Linked DNA regions of Saccharomyces cerevisiae S288C. The gene in region 2 interacts genetically with the main gene of each other region. Each region holds a gene or a part of one and is shown on either strand. Other genes may lie near its edges.

Evidence for each region.
Region 1: mutations in AAD4 (region 2) and HLJ1 together harm fitness more than expected from each alone (negative genetic interaction), as found in Saccharomyces cerevisiae (2 studies listed by BioGRID).
Region 3: mutations in AAD4 (region 2) and KTR3 together harm fitness more than expected from each alone (negative genetic interaction), as found in Saccharomyces cerevisiae (2 studies listed by BioGRID).

What each region holds. Positions count from the first base shown.
Region 1 is NC_001145.3:573,360-579,366, forward strand, and holds HLJ1 (type I HSP40 co-chaperone HLJ1), read left to right. Parts: upstream 1-4,358; coding exon 4,359-5,033; downstream 5,034-6,007. Other genes in the region: ATG16 (Atg16p), read right to left, coding at 1,117-1,569; CVM1 (Cvm1p), read left to right, coding at 1,707-4,157; aminophospholipid-translocating P4-type ATPase DNF3, read right to left, coding at 5,592-6,007.
Region 2 is NC_001136.10:17,077-25,488, forward strand, and holds AAD4 (putative aryl-alcohol dehydrogenase), read right to left. Parts: upstream 1,491-8,412; coding exon 501-1,490; downstream 1-500. Other genes in the region: THI13 (4-amino-5-hydroxymethyl-2-methylpyrimidine phosphate synthase), read left to right, coding at 1-150; YDL242W (uncharacterized protein), read left to right, coding at 1,883-2,236; YDL241W (uncharacterized protein), read left to right, coding at 3,559-3,930; GTPase-activating protein LRG1, read left to right, coding at 5,747-8,412.
Region 3 is NC_001134.8:629,399-635,810, reverse strand, and holds KTR3 (mannosyltransferase KTR3), read right to left. Parts: upstream 2,190-6,412; coding exon 975-2,189; downstream 1-974. Other genes in the region: FTH1 (Fth1p), read right to left, coding at 1-665; LDH1 (triacylglycerol lipase), read left to right, coding at 2,430-3,557; COS111 (Cos111p), read right to left, coding at 3,869-6,412. UniProt on the Saccharomyces cerevisiae protein: Possible glycosyltransferase that transfers an alpha-D-mannosyl residue from GDP-mannose into lipid-linked oligosaccharide, forming an alpha-(1->2)-D-mannosyl-D-mannose linkage.

The DNA of each region.
Region 1 (6,007 bases), on a different chromosome or scaffold from region 2:
ATAATCAACCTTTGCACTTCAGCTTCCATTAAATCTGATTAATGCTTCTTAATCTTTAAGCCATCTTCTTGCACCATAAATAGCAATGAAACCATTTAGTCTTCTATTTTCCACTTAAAGAACCAGGTTTTTGCATTTCAGCCATCTTAAATTAGACGACGGTTTAATTTCGGTGTAGTATCATAAAATTTCGGCCATCCTTCGACTCACGTATAATGATGGCCTCAGCGAGAGGATCAGCAACAAGTTACATCCACAATAATACGCGGAGTTATGAGATATTACAGTACCCTCCCCAAAAATATAAGGTTTACCGCAAGATCGTATCAGGAGAATGAACGGGTCTCTTAGTTTTTATCCACTATTCTTTCCACTCACGCCAATATACTAACCAATTGAAATGCTCATAACCAGAATGAACAGGCCGCATGCATTCTTTAGCCAACTTTCGATGAAAATACCCACTATGCAATGGTAAATTTCCGAAACAAAAAATTATACTTCAGTGTTCCCACAAAATAACGATATGTTTCTTTTCATTTTTCAATGAAAGCATGATTTTTTCCCTTCCAATGCCAAAATGCTAGTCCTATAAATGAAAAAAAAAGCTTTCTGCTATAAGAACAGCAAGGGGCATTTCAACTTACACATAATAGAAGGTGAGATAAAGACCATCGTGAATCCTAATAGAAACTGCGGGTTTCTTAGGATCATGGGTCGCGCAAAACCGCCAAGTTTACCATCAAAAAGCTACAAAGTTCAATTTACCCAATAGAATTCTAACGCCAAAGATTTGTAGTGATTCATATGAAATTTTCTTTATGCATCCAGTTATTACTATTGAGTTTCTCTCAAGATACATTCTCCAAAAAAAAAGCCTGTTCTCGCACAAACGACCTTAAGAAAGGTTTAAAACAGCTGTCACATTACATTATAGTAGATAAAAACACGAATGGCATTTTCTTAACTTGCAGGTGTACTCTCTATAGCATGTTTAACATATTTTCACCTCTTTATTGCAAACACTTTGGCGTTTCATATTCTGTCCATGTATATGCACCACAATGATTTTATTTTCTTTTGTATGCATTTTGTGACGATTTGACAACTGATGCATCATTTCGTTCCATCTATTTCGCTGTTCATGGCTTCTGTCTCTTTCTCTGTCTTTTTTAGCCATCTCGCAACTAGCTGGGAATGTTCTTTTTTCAGATCCGAGAGTTTTTGTTGTAAAACATTATTTTCAATGGTTCCACTAATCAATTCGTCATTCAACCTTTCCGTATTCTTATTTTTCAACGCAATAACTTCTTTCAATCTTCGTATTTCTTGCTCCTTACTTTTCAGTTCTTTTTGTAGAATTGCCAGTGTATTCAATAAAGCATCGTCATGGCTGACAATGTTGCCACCAATGGCGCCACTATTATCTTGAAACAACTCATTTAAATGGGCCTCCTTGTCGTTTCGATCTGTTAGTCTACGAATTAACAAATCATCCATGCTATCTGTTTGTGGATTGCTTCTTTCCTCCTTTGCTTTCTTCCTTTCTGTTATAATGAAATTGCCCATGGAATATGCGCCCTTAATACAGATTCGCGCAGGTTAATAACAAAAATCAACGTTAAATAAAGGTCAACTACAAACAGAATAAGTAAAAGCGAGCAAGTGTAGTAGCAATTTAGCACAACATATAAAACGCTATTATAATGGATGTTGTGCAGCAGAAACAGGATAAACAGTTGCAGCATCAAACACAAGAGCAGCAGCAGATACGAGAGGACCAGCAGGAAGTCCCACCCCAACGTCCACGACAACAAAACAGATGGAAACCCTGGTGGAATTCCACTGCCGACGATGAGCCAAACACGGGAAGAATTGCAGAATATCCTAATGGACAAGGAAGGAGTAGTCCGACAACGGATTTTCAAGATAGCGTGAACTCGAATAATGACAATAAAGGGATATGGTCTAAAATCGCTTCTTTTGCAACATCCAGATATAGAAGTGCCCCAATTGTTGTTGATGATAATACCCGCTACTCTCAACTAAACACTGAACAAATCAACTTCTTGGAAAATGAGGCTAAGGATATAATTTCAAAAAAGTCGAAATCATGGTGTTGGTACGAAGCAATTCCACATATATCAAATTCATCAAACATAATTGATTCCATAGATACCCCAGGAATAATCAGTGTCTCTGGTACAGGATCAGCCAAATGCCCATTGCCATTAAACAAATATCCTGGGGAGGGAGGTAACCCTGGGTATAATGTATTTATTAATGATTCTTTAATCCTACCATCAGATAACCCTTTGAATTTTCTGCACGTCCAACCACTAAGAACTAAGGTATTGAATACTATCAAAAATTACTATAACTTCCCTAATGAGCAACATCTCTATTTAAGACAAAAAAAAACCGCATTACTGAAGGATAAGAGAATTATTATAATATCCGTCGTGGGGGATTTACCAGAAAAGTATGAGCAGCGCTCATTAGAATCACAAAGATCGGCTTATTATCTTTCTAGAAAATTGTCACAAAATCTAGCGCAAGAACAACCTCAAAGAGTCTTGACCCTATCGTTCCAGTGCCCACTGCATAATCAAGATTTAATACCTACATATAAAGAATGTGTAGAGTTACTGAACCACTGGGCTCATCTTTTCAAAGAGGTAGATTCAATTTTTTTTGTGGGCGTTTATCACAGCGTTCCCTTAACTTTGCTATTAGCGAAATATATCGTGCAAAATAATGAAGTTCTAGAGTTTGATGAAAACACTACAGTGAGTGTATTGAGTTTCCAGTCATGTTTACAAGGCTATCGATTTTGGGACCACAGCACTGACTTTACTAGCAATAGTTATAATAACTTGGGTTCCAATTCCAGTACTAACGAAAATGATAGTAATGATCATGATTCAAATAATGATTTCACAACGAAGAGCCAACAAATCAAAGAAAAACAGTTATTTCAGGGCATTGACAAAAAGCAACAAGACACATTATCTAAAATCAAAAATTATAGGCGGATAGATTCTAGTGAATCTAAACTAGTTCAGGATGCATTGGATTGGCTCTTGTTCAATTGGGATACGTTTCGACTGACATTTTTTGGTAAGCTTTATGATAATTTTATGACAATTTCAGAAAAACTTGCTATAGATTATAATCACCCTAAAATCTTGAGAAATTTATGGTGCAATGGGAAGTACATGGGCATTGATTTAAAGAATGCTAATAATTTAAACCTTGATACCGATGATGAAGCAACTAGTAACATTAATGACGTCCATGTAAGGACCCCTAATTTTGAATCGAGATTGAAGATTCCCACCAACAGACTTTTCGAAATAACCTTATGGGATATTTTGATGATAACGGAGAATTTAGGATATAAACAATTTATTCCCATAATTAATTTACTAAGTCCTTTTTTTATTTCAAGGTCATTTAATGATTACACATTGCCTCCAAATATTAGGAAACAGTACCAGAACAGCAACAAAATCTGGCTTCAAGAAATGGACAGTAAGTGGAAAATGAATGGTCATCAACTCAATTACGACCAAAGGGAGGGTGAAAGTCTCGGTTCATCATCGGAATCATTATTGCCAGAGAATATTTCTACGGTAAAGGATTTTTTGCAGTTTGTGCAGTATCAAAACGAAAAATCTTCGGATTTCGTAAGGATATATTCAGACATTTATGATGACGATAAAGTCTATAAATGCTTTCTGTACAATACAATATTCACGAAAAACCCATTAAGTCGTAAGCATTTACGTTTAAACATCGACCTCGACACTCCTACAAGCATATTGAATACTGTCAATCAATATGATTTGGTATGGAAAATTCATGATTCCTTCTCCAAATTGATTCAATTGAAAAATTTACCGCAGCGAGAGATACCACATGCGTTGAGGCTCTCCATCTCATTAAACTGCTTCTTGGATAGTACCACGAGTACTTCTGGCCCTGTTTTTCAGAGGGACACCGTGGAAGCTTTGAGAAGATTAACAGAGATTTGGCGAACTTACCAGGATTGGTCTCCACCAACAAGGGGTTTGAAACACCTACGTGATATCCTGAGCGTTTTAGCCATGTATGACAACCCCAAAAACTTGATTAATGATGTTCGACGTACATAGTAGATTCGTATATAGCGGACCGCGTAACATATTATGGTATTTGTATAGTGGGTAACCCGCAGAGTAGGCTGGAAAGTATTCGTGAAGAACATAAAGGAAGCTGGCAGAAGTTCTTTTCATACACCTCTACTTCCAGAAGCCATAATAGCAGCAACGCTGTTTCTGCAATATAACTTGTGGAAGGTCTATAATAGGAAGAACATGTCTTTCACTGAGGATCAAGAAAAAATCGCGCTAGAAATACTGTCAAAAGACAAGCATGAGTTTTACGAAATTTTGAAGGTAGATAGGAAAGCCACAGATAGTGAGATCAAGAAGGCATACAGAAAACTAGCAATCAAATTGCATCCTGATAAAAACTCTCATCCAAAAGCGGGAGAAGCTTTCAAAGTAATTAATAGGGCATTTGAAGTACTAAGCAATGAGGAAAAGCGCAGTATTTATGACAGGATAGGTAGGGATCCTGACGATAGACAAATGCCATCCAGAGGTGCTGCTTCAGGGTTCCGAGGAAGTGCAGGTGGGTCTCCAATGGGTGGCGGATTTGAAGACATGTTTTTCAATTCACGTTTCGGTGGTCAAAGAGCTGGACCACCAGAGGACATATTCGACTTTTTGTTCAACGCAGGCGGCAGCCCATTCGGCGCTTCACCATTTGGGCCTTCTGCTTCCACTTTTTCATTTGGAGGCCCCGGTGGTTTCAGAGTTTATACTAATAATCGTGGTGGCTCACCGTTCATGCGTCAACAACCCCGCTCAAGACAGCAGCAACAACAAGCAGAAGAAAATGCAGTGAATTCGCAATTAAAAAATATGCTCGTTCTTTTCATCATCTTTATTGTTCTTCCTATGATTAAAGATTACCTGTTTAGTTAAACACAATATTTTTACTGTCATTTTTTTATTATTTTCCAACGTTAGTCAAAGTTGTACTATAAAATAAAACTACAAGGAGCAAGCAAAATTGAAAAAACGCATTTGTATACTAGATGACATTTAGGTCATTCCTTCAGGCTTCCTGGCTATGTTTTATTTTGTTCCACAGTTTACCAGAAGGACATAATGGTATTAGAATTTTAATATATCGAGGAAATTAAATCAGACAGTATAATACTTATAAACATCTTTATTTTCTGATAACTAATCATAGCATTTACGCCATACATTTACTTTTTCTTTTGACACCGAAAGTAATCAAGCCACTTTTATAATTAGAGTTAGTTTATAGATAGTATTTAAAATTTGTGAAGATTTCCCATGCGTTGTGCCTTGCTTTCTCTCAAAATACATCTTGTTAATTTTCTAATGTGTGGATGCCGAAATAATATTCGACTCAACAAATCAAGTAAGTCTTCTAAGCTCGCTACTAATTTCCAATAAAAGGTATATATATAAAAATGTTCTCAATAATGTAATTAAACAAGATCACGAGAATTACTCCAGATCCTTTAGCCTTGCCTGAATAATCTGGTTCACATCTTCATCTTCCACATTCCTCGATGGAAGCTTCAGTTTCTTCGTCAGTTTAGTAGTTATATTGCCGCCAATACTGTCTTTACTGCTTTGTGTTTTCAAGGATGGTCGCTTGATTAACTTGCCACTAGGTAATACCTCGTATCGTTCAGAGCTCTTTTTAGAAGAGTTTCCAAAGAAATTTTTTTTTGAGGAATGGTCTACATTCCCATTTGACATTGAATATATGCTGCTGTTATGAGTTTTTGCACTTGCACGTGAATTAGTTCTTGGCCTTGAAAGAACTTTGTCTGTGTACCTTGTGAAAGTACTGGGATCTTTATCCCACGTCCATCCTTGCCTCATTTCGCTATAGGCTCCTAGTTCCAGCTTCTTTC
Region 2 (8,412 bases):
GACTATGTCTCGAACTACACTAATGAATACCTGTCCTGGCCAGAACCAGAAGAGGTTTCTGATCCTTTGGAAGCCCAAAGATTGATGGCTATTCATCAAGAAAAATGCAGACAGGAAGGTACTTTCAAGAGATTGGCTCTTCCAGCTTAAACGCACTTCGTCACTCCTCGAGCGTAGCCTTCCTCTACGACTTGTTTATGATTTCCCATTAGGTTTTTTTTCCTCCCTGATATTTAGATATTTACTATTAAGATATTATTTATGAGCCTTTTATTACAGCTTCTTTTCCCTTGTAATTATCGTACTTGCCTCCAAGTATCGAAAGTCTTGTGTTGCCTCGATTTACCACTTCAAATGCTGTAACCTGCACAATTTACGCCTGAATTAGGTGAGGGATAAAGACTGTTTTTAGGTGCGGCTTATTCAAAAGTATAAAAGTAGATAGCGTGGAATATATAAGGACATATTTCTTACACAAACGCACCAAAAAAGAAATCTGATTAATCGAAGGAAATCTGCGCAGACATTGCCGTGAGAAGTGAAGCCTTCTTGGTAACAGCCGGATCATCACCGATAAAATTAGTAGGAAAACCAACATCAAAAGGAATAATACTTTCTAAGTATTCTATCTGTTCTGGTGTCAGTTTGATACTTAAAGCCTCAATGTTCTGTTTGAGGTGTTCAATTTTCCTTCCACCAACCAATGGGAAAACATTTTTCGCCTTAGAGCGAACATAGGCAATAGCAATAGCAGTAACAGACTCAGTGCCATGTTCCTCAGCAACCTTGGCCAATGCTTCACTGATCTTAACCTCTTTATCCGTCTGTTTAGAAGTACCCGAAACAGTACGCAGACCCTCTCCATTCTTCTTCCGTTCCTCCATTGCTTTTTTACTCTGAAATCTTCCACCTCCCATAACATCCCATGGGGCTAGAGCCATACCAAAATGTCTGGCCATTGGAATGATATCGCGCTCAAAGTCCCTGTTCAACACATTCCATTTACCTTGATAGATACTAAAAGGAGTTTTCCCATGAGATGTGGCGTAGTAGTTTGCCGCAGAAACAACCCAAGCAGGTGTATCAGACACACCCAAATAGAGGACTTTGCCCTGCTGAACTAAAATATGCAAACTATCCATAACTTCTTCGATTGAACTCATATAATCCCACCAGTGAACGTAAAGTATATCAATCCAATCAGTTTGCAATTTGCGGAGAGAATCCCTCACACTCACATGTAAACTATGCTTGTGATTACCACAATAGTTGGCACTTTTACCGCCACCTACTTCATACTTCTTATAATCTCCGGTAAACTTGGTGGCAATTACAATTTGGTCACGCAACTTTCTTGATTTCATCCATTCACCTATCCAAATCTCTGACTCTTCATTTTGGTAACTGTTTGCAGTATCAATGCAATTACCTCCTGCTTCATAAAAAGCATCAAGAAGTTCAAAAGCCTGTTCCTTATTCATAGAGCCCATAAAGCCTGACCATGCATCGCCGATTGAAGCTCCTCCCAGAATTAGCGGTGAAACTCTTATGCCGGCAGTTTTAGAAAGAACCCTGAGACGTCCCAACTCGGTAGGTGGTTCAGGTAGAGGTTTAAATAATTCACTAATATTATTGAATAATATTTTGTAGCTATAGGAAGTGTATTCTAGTGAAATACAAAGCCGCTCAGTCAATTCGTCAGCTGGCCGATGAAAGGAAGAACTGCAACTGTCCTTGATCTGGAAATATTGTCATGACTTTTATATGGTTCAAAAATCTGCCCCCAATTTGTTCGAGGATATTTAGTGCAACTTAGTTGGGTCTTGGAACGAGGTCTGCTTACTAATTTTATGTTGACGGTTGAAAGCGGATTTTAAAACGTATGAATTTAGAAGAGAGCCAATCAAATAGGGGTACGCTTAATATTAAAAAAATATTAGTAATTGTTTGTATGACGAATAAAATTTGTAAGCACCTGATCCAATCCTTATTATTGAGCAAGAGACGTCTTGTTTCTGTACTCTTTGATAACTATCAAGGCGACATGAAACTAAGGTCATCTCCATCTGCCATTCCTCTAGTTCCGTCAACGAAAATTCTTCAAGCTATGGAGGCCCGGAACGACATTGTTGACAGTCTGATCATCAATAGTCACGCAACGGAAAGTGATCGCCGGACTTTAGGAGACCATGAGGTTAGACAATGTGAGGATACCAACTTCGGCTTCAAAATTTGATACAGGTTAATTTTGAAGGCAACATTTAGGTTCGGCCTTATTTAAAAAAACCTTCAGGTACGCGTTCAAGATCCCATTTTAAAGGTATAGGCAGATTGCACTATTTTACCGGCAAATGTGCGAATATCGAAACTGGAAGATGTTTTCAAGAAAATTGATTTAAGATCCATTTGTCGTGTTTAGAGTTCTCATTGTTCTGGTCAATGATTTCAAACTCAAAAGGCACAAGAAACTTACAAAATTTGTTTCTTATGAACATTACGCCATGTTCTTTGCGAGCATGTGCTATACAGTCTTGCTAGAAAATGGCCCTATAATTAGAAAGCTCAAAAAATAACCCAATGCTGCATCGATTTTTGGAGAAAGGGGGTCAATCATCATCTATCTTCATAAATAACGAGTTGCAGAAAAATTGGAAACTGGTTGATTTTGAAAAGTTTTCATTTTTCTGGCAACAAATTATAGCTACAAAAAAAGAAGTTATGGCGCATAAGATGCATCAATATATGGTGTGACCAGATTGGACGTAACTAGTACTCATGTTATTATTCATATCCTTCATTTTTCCTTCTTTTCTTCTCCTTCTCGAACAGTAACTTCAGATTGAAAGACGTGAGGATGCTTTAGAATGCACATTAAAATTAATATACTACTGGCCTCTTGTGTTTGTCATTGGCTTCTATTTTCAATAAAACATCCAGACAACCCTGCTGTTAATTTTGGAAAAAAAATTTCGCCGATTCTAATCATGTGACTCCTTTTCCCCAGGCAATACCGGAGAAAGCGTTCTATCTCAAACTATATAATTTGCGCTGCTCGTCTCCAAGCCCATGCTAGTGTTTACTTTCGGTTGTAAAAGGTAACTAGAAGTTTTAACGCAAGCATTGTATTATATTTTCCCACAATTGCTCTTAAGGACCTTTTTTTTTCTTGCGTGATCCTGCACTATTGAAAAGTCTTTATCAAAAATAGATGAAACTTTTTCAGGGTTCAACATTTAGAGGCTTTTCTCATATTCTTTACTCAGTTGCCTGCGAAGACCCTTCTGCCCGCTGCGCATTTTCTTAGAAAATCAAAAAAATTGCCTTTTCATCTTTTACCTTCCGAGTTGAATATGTTGACTATTTGCAAACAGGCGTATGATTGTCGTATATAACAGGGCACTTTCGGCAGTGAATCAATAGGAGGCGTATAAGAAAAGCCAATTAGTACCTATATATATATATATATATATATATATATATATATATTCCTTTATTATAATTCCTATCAGCGATTTTTGCATCACACCCAAGAAAAATCTATAATAGAGACACAAAAAAATGAACGTAACTGAAAATGCTCTATTGTTTAAGTGCGGTAGCAAGGGCTATATTAATCAAACCTATACGCCGACAGAAATTTATAATTGTGGGGTAGCTGAAGGAAAGAAAACTGCTAAAGAAAAGAACCCAACTTATTCAATTTTTTATGATACATTTCTCACTGGGCAGCCTGCTGAAAGTCCTGAAACGTTTACGTGTGGTTCGCATGGCTTCACAAATGCGAGTTATGTGGCAAGCGACTTTTATGCATGTGGTTTTCTGCAAGGGAAAGGTACAGAAACCAATGCGGGAATACATAATACAAGGCCTTCTCATTCTCTCGCCAAATTTACCATACTGTTCATGCTAGTGTTGTATACAATTGTCTAATTCTCAAGGTATGACACTTTGGATTGGTGGTCGCAGTAGCCACCATATAATTTTTTATCGTTTCTACATATAATACGAGACAGTCAGACAGAACTTTGGGTCGCCTGAGAAGAAAGACTATAAAAATGTAACCCGTCAGTAGGACTCATCTTAAAACAGTGGGTAATTTACTAAGGAGGCTGGAAAAACTGCGATAATCGGCTTATAGTACATATATATAGAATAATCATTAATCGAGCCTTTACCGCGAAATTCATGGATTTCTCAAAAACAAAGGTGCAATTACATGTTAAGCACCGAATTTCTATGCGAAACAGGTCCGTCTCATCAGTCATAGCTTTCCAAGTATATAAAACTTGAACGCAAAAGTGCGTCATCGACGCCTTTTTTTGCGCAAGGATTGTTACTATTCATTTAATGAACTCTGATGTCTTAATAAGCCAATGGTATCCATAAGTGAAGGTGAAGTCTACTGTGTTACATTAGCAAGTCAGAACTCCTATACGATACAGTATACTGCATTATGGGCACTAAAATAATTTAGATTATAGAAAATATCGATACTATGCTTCCACTTCTCACGAAGCGGCCATGTTTTAAATGAAGTACGTTAACGCTAACACAAGGCTTGACAACTTTCATGAGCGTCAAATAGTCTACGTGTGGGCTCACTTTTTCAGATTTCTTCTTGGCTTTTGTGAGATGTATAATTAACAATAATCATAAAATCGCTACATAAAACAAAGCATAAAAAATTACAGATTTCCTGTTCAAAAATCAAATCGGTCCAGTTCAGCTATTGTTCTGCCGTTGTTCATGCTCAGAAAATTGGACCATGGTGTCATCTAACTTTAGTTGGTCCCATTAAGCTCTCTTCTGTATATCATGTTTGCCATATTGTCATATCATCTGCTTAGTATTAAACCGTTGTGGAAAACAAGAAAATTGCGAATTACTAGTATAGAAAATGCATTCTAAGTCGCCTGTGATTCCAATAGCAAAGAAATTGATCTTAATGGAAGTAGGAAATAGCTGTGGCAAAGAGACAGGATACTAAGATTGGTTTAAGGCGAGGTCATACTTAGCTATTTCCTTCACCAACATTGGTTTTCGAACAGTCAAGAGATGAAAACGCAAAAAAGTGCACTATAAAGTAAATACTCAAACGTTCCCAAAACAAAACGAGAAGAAGCGATAGGCACCTCAAAACTGAAATTATGGGCAAACAATATAACCCGTAAAAGATCACTTTACGACCAGAACATAATCAACATGGGTGGCCCCCATGTTGTACTCAGTTAGCTTTTTGAGCTAGCAAATATATCAAGAAGCCCGCATGTGCTACTTACGTTTGAATTACTTCTCGTTGTAACGCACTTTTCTACAACGTACCTCACTAGTAAATATAACTTAATGCTTGCAGGTTAGCCCATCGCTACAACACCTCCCCACAAAGTATTTACTTCAAGAAATCGATCTTGGCGAGTATATCCTTATCTTTATGTAAGTATCTTTTTCGTCTTCAAAGTATGCCGGGTATTGATGGGCACGGAAGATGTAAACAAAATGGAAAACAAATAAGAACAGAATCTGAAACGTCATTTGAGAATTTAAAATATGTAAATCATTCCTCTCGAGCCAACCAAGGCTGTTCTTGCTAGAAACCAGCAATTGGGCTTCTCATTCAAAACAGTATCCGTCTTTGCCTTAACATTGTTATTTGGCCTTTATCCCAGATATACGCAACCGTATTTATTCAAATCCAAAGAAAAAAAGAGCAGACAAATTATCAAACAACAAGTACCGGAGGTGAGCAATGATTCAAAATTCTGCTGGTTATCGATCGCTGAATACTGCATCTCCGATGACCGTGCAGGTGAAGAATCAGAAGAAAATATGCGCCCGTTGTAACAAGTTAGTTATACCCGATAGCCAACGAACTAAAACAACTTTAAAGGCTCTCGGTAAATATTATCATGAAAGTTGTTTTACCTGCCAAGACTGTCAGAAACCTTTAAAACCGAAGTACTTCCCATATCAAGTAGACAAGACAAGTGAATCTATATTGTTATGCCAATACGATTATTTTAGAAGACATAATTTGTTATGTCATGTATGTGATACCCCATTGCGTGGATTATATTATACCGCATTCGGTTACAGATACGACGAAGAGCATTTTTCTTGTACAATATGTGCTACTCCTTGTGGGGTTAAAAAATGCTTCATGTACGGAAACCAATTGTATTGCAAGTACCACTTTCTCAAGTATTTTTCGAAACGTTGCAAAGGGTGCGAGTTCCCAATATCGGATCAATATATCGAGTTTCCTAAAGGTGAAGAAATACATTGTTGGCATCCGGAATGTTATGGAATTCATAAATATTGGCATGTAAATTTAGCAGCAGAAACTGTTGGTTTGCAGTACCTTCCCAAGCTGGAATATAACCCAAATTCCGGAGACAAAGATATAAACCCAACTGCCTACGAGTTAGATAAACAAATGCAGGCGTTTAACTTTATTCTATCTAAAACGTGGTCGGTTTTATATCGTTTTGAGGAAGAGGCAGCTTCTTGCATTTCTGATATGTTTCAATATTTGACAAGCAATGATCAGTTAAAGGGCATAGAGTCTACGGGTCTGTTGGTACTAAAAATCGACTGTCTTTTCCGGGGACTGGATACTTTAAACCTCTCGACGAACAAAAGTATGCCAGTTAACAGTGATCAAGAATGCATTGAAAACAACGCAATGGCGGCCAGTAAATACAGCAAGTTTCCCAAAAATCTGTCCACAAAAATTATGATATATTTACAACTCTTAAGAAAGTTAGGGACAGAAAACAAAAACGAAACTATCACAATTTCATCTTTTATGTCTGTTATTACTGGATTAGCCCATTTTCTAAAACTGTTAACAAGATTTGGGCTATATACGGCTCTAGAAAACAATAAGTTGACTCATTCTGTTAATCCATTGTTGAGGTTTTTAAGAGAAGTAGAGAAAAATGAGCTTTTTGAAAATAACCCGTTTCAGTATATAAAGACTCCTGTTAACGCCACAGATAGTTGCGCTGGATGCAATAAATACATACAGGAGGAATGCATTCAATTTTATGAGCACCGGTGGCATATTGCTTGTTTTACTTGTTCTTCATGCCATAAGAATATAAATCCGAGGAGTTTGACGGATCCCACCTTTAATAAAGAGAAAAAAAAGATACTATGTTCTCACTGCTCAATTGATGATCCGGCCTCTGTGCCGGGTTTCAAATTTGTTACTAAGCTAGCACAACTAATTTTTCTTCTAAAAATTGCCCTAGTCAAATCAAGAACTGTAATGTTGAAATCGAAAGCATCTAACAAGGTAGGCAGAAACTCTTTACAGAGTACTATGCTAAAGGAACAAACTTACATTAGGACACTGAATGATATTAAAAGATTGAGATCTAGAAGAGAAAGTGTTCGGGTCACTCATAACAAACAACAAGCTAGAAAATCAGTGATACTGGAAACTGCAGAGACAGATTTAAATGACCCGACAAAACAAGGAGATAGTAAAAATCTTGTGATTCAAACAGATGACCCATCATCGAGCCAACAAGTGAGCACACGTGAAAATGTTTTCAGTAATACTAAGACGTTGACACTAGATGATATTTCACGTATTGTTGCCGCTGAACAAGCAAGGGAGCTAAGACCTAACGCTTTTGCACACTTTAAAAAACTAAAAGAAACCGATGACGAAACTTCGAATGTTGTTCCCAAGAAAAGCGGAGTTTATTACTCTGAATTAAGTACGATGGAACTCTCGATGATAAGGGCTATCAGTTTGTCACTGCTAGCTGGTAAACAACTGATATCGAAGACTGATCCTAACTATACTAGCTTAGTCTCAATGGTCTTCTCGAATGAAAAGCAAGTCACAGGTAGCTTTTGGAACAGAATGAAAATCATGATGAGCATGGAGCCTAAAAAGCCCATCACTAAGACTGTTTTTGGTGCTCCTTTAGATGTGTTGTGCGAGAAATGGGGTGTTGATTCCGATTTAGGTGTGGGGCCAGTGAAGATTAGGATCCCCATAATTATTGACGAGCTAATATCATCTTTGAGGCAAATGGATATGTCAGTAGAAGGTATTTTCAGGAAAAATGGAAATATCAGAAGACTGAGAGAACTAACTGCTAACATCGACAGTAATCCAACAGAAGCTCCAGACTTCTCGAAAGAAAATGCAATCCAATTATCTGCTCTTTTGAAGAAATTTATCAGAGAGCTTCCCCAACCGATTTTATCGACAGACTTATATGAACTATGGATTAAGGCCGCGAAAATTGATTTAGAGGATGAGAAACAGCGTGTTATATTGCTAATATATTCCTTATTACCCACTTACAATCGCAATTTACTGGAGGCACTTTTGTCATTTTTGCATTGGACGTCCTCATTCTCTTACATTGAGAATGAAATGGGATCAAAAAT
Region 3 (6,412 bases), on a different chromosome or scaffold from region 2:
TTTTGGGTTTTGTTTCCCAGCAAATTATTGTCCTTTGAATAAATGATAGAAGCTAATTTCACTCTGAACTTCTCTCTTAACTTCCCCATTCTTAAAAAAAACAACCCCATGACAGAAATAATAACGGACGCGACAAGACTTAAGACACCTTCATAATAATGTTCACTCAGTGTCCATAAGTCGGTTCCAATATGATAAAAGATACTAACAAACGCACCCCCGATTAACATACACAGCAACAAACCAAATGCGCCGCCCGCTAGAATTTGTATTTTTAATTTCTGATATAGCTTAACGTTGTCAGCCGTATGTTCATCGGACTCGCGGTCCTGGTCTCTAAGCTCATTAGAGTACTCGTAAATTTCTTCTTCTTCCTCCACATTTAGCGGCCTCGATTTATTATTAGCAGCCGTAGCGGACGTTCCAATAGCATTACCGTCTGAAGGCCCTGCTTGTAAGAAGGCAGTGGTCGAATCTGCGTTTGTGTTCGTATTTGGACTTGGAAGACCAGCAGAAGAGGAACTTCCTTCAAACGGGCTGTCGTCCTCAACAGACAGACCTTGTTTGACGATCGTCAACAGGATAGAAACAATGACAACAATTTCTAAGGATTCCCTTAAGAAAATGAAGAATATCTGGAAAGAAAAATAATCCTCAAACGCCATGGTGACTAGAAATATGAACACCACTCTAGTTCTCTATTCTTAGAGTTTTTTCGCTTTTCTGTAGAGGACAAAAGTTCAGTAAGATGCTTGATTCTTTATAATATCAAGTTTGTGTTTTTGTAGGCTGGTTTAGATACAATTTTGCTTTTCTCTCTTCATCTCCGGCCGCACCGCACCCATTTTTGAACCCAAGAAGGCACTAGAATAAAGTGAGGTGGCTACTACATTGAATTATGTGTATATAGATAGATACATGTTGACGTTTTAGCACCTGTTTTGACGGAGCAGGCGCTATTTGTAGTTTGGTTTTTAAATTCCTGGTGGAAGCTTGTAATTTCCTGCTGAAAAGTACTTTCTAGTACAGAAGTAGTCAGGAGTCCAGGTGACGTCCTTGCTAGGTTCGCAGATACACTTGTTTTGTAGTCTAATCTTCTGTTCGATAGGACAAGAGGTGAAATCTGGATGATGGAATCCAAGACCGTCAAAGAAATGGATTTCTGACTTGTCCAAGAACAAAGAGGCAGCGATGGAGTGCACTGGCGCATCCCCCCATCTTTCGTAGAAGAATCCACCAGAACTGTCTAAGTAATCAAAGTATTCTCTGTATGCATCGGACCTGAAGAAGTCTAAAGAGCCGATTTCGAAGTTGGTCCAGAAATGACACATATTATAAGTGTCACCATCATCATTCGAAATGAATTTCATGAGGTTATTTTTGTGTAAGAATTTAGGATTTTTCTTGATGAATTTCTTTGTCGTTTCCCACAAGGTTGGGATTGTGCGCTCATATTCACTTACCGAAAGAATGAATCCATATTTCTTGTTATTTACTTTTAAAAACTTGAATATGTCATACTGAATATCACAGAATAAAGTGATATCGGTATCCACTCTCCAAAACCATTCGTACTCCTCCAGTAGTGGGTGTCTCCATATGAACCCTGACTGGAAACGGCACATGTGACGGTAAGGCACGGAACTACCATATGGAATATCCAATTTTCCCATTGCAAGCCTTTTCTCATCGAATTTTTCAGTATCGATCCAAGATGGAATGGACCAATGGTCCTTTGGGATTGTCCCATATTTTGCCTTGCCTGAAACCAATGCACTGGTAACACGTTTAAACTCATCACTAAATGGTTGGTCATTCAAGAACACCCAATCGTAGTGATATCTGTTATTGAACCTGTCTTCAACATGTCTAATAGATTTTACCAAGTTCCATAAATCTGAATTCCTGGCCAATGTGACCATAACACCCTTTTCCTTCTTTCCATCGTCCACGGGATGGATTACTCCTTGTGACTTGTCAGTAAACGGCATCAAATAATCCTTACTGGCTACACGACTGACACTGGTGCCCTGAGCTATTGGTACCTCTGGGGACCTTGAGCCACTCATGAAAAATAAAAAGGATAACACTATGATGAGCCCAATGAATGATGATCTGATTCCCTTTTGGTATTTTCTAATCAGCAATGCCGATTTGGGCATTAGCTTCTTTTTGTGGTGCACAGACATAATTGCACGCTGGATATTGATAGTGTTGTTGTCCGCAGACGAGGCCTGACCTTCTTTATGCAAATTTTAACCATCAGTTACGTTGTTTTCTTCGAAAAGTTTCAAGAGGACGCGCCATTCTTTTAACCCGGCAATTTTAAAGGGTTCATTAATAAAGAACTACCAAGATGGTACAGTCGCATTTGGATCGTAACTCAACGTTAGAAGAAAGCCTTAAACCGAGAACTTTTTCTCTTGGTAATGAATATGGCAGAACGTGCAGAAGCAACAAAAAGTTGGTCCTGTGAGCCCCTTTCTGGAAAGACGCTAGAAGAGATTGTTCAAAATGCAGAAAATGCAGCTGATTTGGTAGCTTACATTCGCAAACCAGAGGTAGATTTGGACTTTAGGTTGAAGTTTATCGCAGAACATGAGGAGTTTTTTAATGTACAACTATCGGATCGAAATTCAAGAATAAGGACGTGTCACAACTTGAGCGATAAAGGGATACGGGGTGATACTGTTTTCGTCTTCGTGCCTGGGTTGGCTGGCAACTTAGAACAATTTGAACCCTTACTCGAGCTTGTGGACTCTGATCAAAAGGCATTTTTGACGTTAGATCTGCCCGGCTTTGGTCATAGTTCAGAATGGAGCGACTACCCCATGCTGAAAGTGGTGGAACTTATTTTCGTTCTTGTATGTGACGTCTTAAGAAAATGGTCTACAGCGGTGCCGAATAATGATAACGTAAATCCATTTAACGGTCATAAGATAGTGCTTGTAGGGCATTCTATGGGTTGTTTTCTGGCATGTCATCTTTACGAGCAGCACATGGCTGATACAAAAGCGGTACAAACGCTAGTTTTGTTGACGCCCCCCAAAGCACATATCGAGCAGCTTTCTAAGGATAAACATATTATCCAGTGGGCTCTCTATGGTGTGTTTAAATTGCCATGGCTATTTGACGTTTATAGAAACAAATTCGATCAGGTAAAAGGTCTACAAAGTTCCGGCATCAAGCAGTATTTTTATCAACAAGGTGATGATGTCAAGTTGAAATACAGGAAGTTCTGGCAATTTAAAAACAACATAAGCAACAAAAGTAGAACCATCATAGGTTATTTACTAGGATGGGAAACTGTTGATTGGGTTAAATTCAATGGTGTATTGACGCAAACGGATATGAAACAGAAAATTATAATATTTGGCGCTGAAAAAGATCCTATAGCTCCTATTGAAAATTTGGAATTTTACAAACAAACTATAAATAAAGAATGTCTTCGTAAAGTGATTATTTTACCTGACTGTTCTCATAATTTATGCTTCGACCGTCCAGAATTGGTGTGTGAAAACTTTCAACGAGAGGTGATTGATAATTCCAAATTGTAGAAGGTTTTCTAGATTTCACATTGCGTAACTAGATTTTCGTGCACACTGCTACATGAATTGATAAAACAAACCAGAAAAAGTAACTAAGACCAATATTTTCAAATTTTTCATAGTATACTTTATATCGTACATCTTACAAGCAAAAATCAAAGGTAGTGTCTATGTATGCAAAAAAATAGGAAACGAAAAATAAATATAAATAAATAAAGCCATGAAATGTAGAAAGGCTATGCAAAAAAGAAAAAAATAAACATCAATAATATTTGGCCAAATAAATTAACAGAACGTATGCTGTTAAAAGAGAGCAGTCGTTATATGATGCTTTCAGCATAGTAGTTATTTTCGCCAACATTTCTCCTTAGATCAACTCTCCTCAACTCCTTTAACCTACTAATCAAATTGTGTGTAATACTGTCTATTCTCAAAGTTGGTTTTCCAACTTTCATTTTGTCCATATCAATGTCATCATCCACACATAATTTAACCACTAAAGAAACATAATCTTTGGAAACTTTTGTGAGCCAAAATGAAGTTGGCTTTTCTGTTTTTAATATTGTCAACCTGAATTGTAAAGATTCTGCTTCGAGATTGGAATCAGAAGTAGCATCAGCCTCAGATCCGGCCCCATATCTAATATCAAATAAGTTTGATATTTCGAGAATATCCGGGTCTCGGCAACAATAGTTTTTTATATATAGCTTTTCGGACTTGATATTAAAAAGCTCTTCTAATCCTAAATCATCTAAATTTGAAAGATGATCCATAACCATCAATGCGACAAATTCATGCAATTTGGCATTACAAGCCCAGGAAAAATTTCTATCCAAGCCAGAGTCCCGGAAACTGAATAAGTGTCTTTCATAAGAGTTGTTTTCCATGGATTTATAATCCAAATGCTGGCGAAACGTCCTCATTACAAAATACTTTACCATATATTGCCTGCACCACACAATGTCATTCATTTTCACCTTAGTTAAGGAGCAGTAGCCACCTTTTTCTTCATTTCTATTGCAGATCATTTCAAAAATTTCAAAAGGGTTTAGCTTCTTTAATACGACGTTCTTATTGTTCAAGGTATTGTTGCGTCTGTGTTCCTCTCTTGTTTTCGTTTGTGCATCGATTGGAGGTGGGTAATCTGTCCAATTCGCCTGACCTCCAATCCAACTAGATGGATTGGTACCTAGGCTTGAAGAACGTGAGTGTTTCTTGCTTAACCCCTCATAATATTCATAACCTTTGCCAGAATCGGTCATATAGACAATTTCTAAATCTTTCTCAGGGCCTGCAGAAACACTAGACTCCTGGACAGCGGGCAACAGTGAAGATGTCATCCTTCTTCTTTCGGATCTTTGGTTGATTAATTTGAAATCGGTACAAATAACTAAATTGGAAAGGTTTAGTTCAACAAGGTTAGGACACAGGTTCAGCATATGTAAAATATAACCTAGGGGCAGATCTTTATAAGGAGCGTACTTTAAAAGAAATTTGTTGGCATACGGATGATGCGTACTAAATGGTTGTTCAATGCTAAATTTTAATGTCGAAGAACGATAATTGGATGGATGCCCCGAATCGTGCTTTAAAACTTTAAAGTCATCGTCAGACTTATCCTTCGAGTTCTTTAAATTAATCGTATTAGCTGTCCTTGCCTTTCTATTTCTTGAACTTAACCTCATTCTAAACCAGGAAGATGACGTAATGTCAGATATAGGTTTTGCTTTCTGAGGAGATGACCTTGTGGACTTCGCAGAAGCTTTTTTCAATGATCCAGCAGTGGAAACTCTTGACAGATTACTACCAGAAGAGATGTTACCATTGCTGGTATTAGACGTGGTTGAAGACAATGAGACATGGGAGGTGTTATAGATGGATGACATGATACTCGTCGTTATGGAAGCAACGGAACTATTGGAACGTTGTCTCCTTGTAGAGTGAACACCGGTGGAATTTCCAGAAGATGTAGAAGTGATAGAAGAAGAACGAGAAACCACTTTTTTCAGTTTAAAGCTGTTCAACAGAGGAGAGCTATAAAGGGGTTCATTTCTGTATCTCCAGTCTCTCCAACCAGCTAATGCCAAGTCTTCAACTTCACTGCCATTTGAAGCGTCGTCTTTGATTAATCCGCTATTGGCATCATCCTCGTTAGAAATGGTAGATGTTGGAGTAGCTGGAGGTAGATTCAAACTTGTGTTAGTAGATCTGCGGCGACGGCGTCTGTGACGCCTTGAGTGGCCATCATCGTCTAGGCCTTGAGAATCCTTCGAGTCTTGGCCTATAATTCCCGGCTTCAAGTGTGATAGGTCCAATACTTTCACGTATGCCCCGTTATCCGGATGTAATCTTAGTGAGGTGACAAACTGCGCCACTCTGTAAGTGGAAGTGAAGTAAGGTAGCCTATAAAGGACGATCTTTGTCGCCTTATAAAACTTCTTCGATACGTATAGACATCTTACGAGTGTCTTTTGATCACGACCTAACTCGAATTCAGAAAGTATTTTGGCAATTATTTCAACTGGTAAATCGTTGATATCGGCAAATTTGCCCCAAGCATGGTATTTTCTCTTCCTCAGCTTTTCAAATCTGGAATTTTCATGTTTACCAGAATGGGAAGTCTTCAGAGAAAATATAGAAAATGAGTCGGATGAAGCACCATGATCGTACAATTTATTCATAAATTTTTTTGAAGAGGTGGAGATTAAGGATTTATACTTTTTTTTAATCCTTGATTTCCTTGAATTCATCGTTATGATAGTTTCATTATCTAAAGATGTGACGTCGTCACTGCGTCTCTGACCTATGGAAGCCAAATCATCAGGAGCGCTGGATTGATTTTGATTGCTGAGTGGAGATTTGAA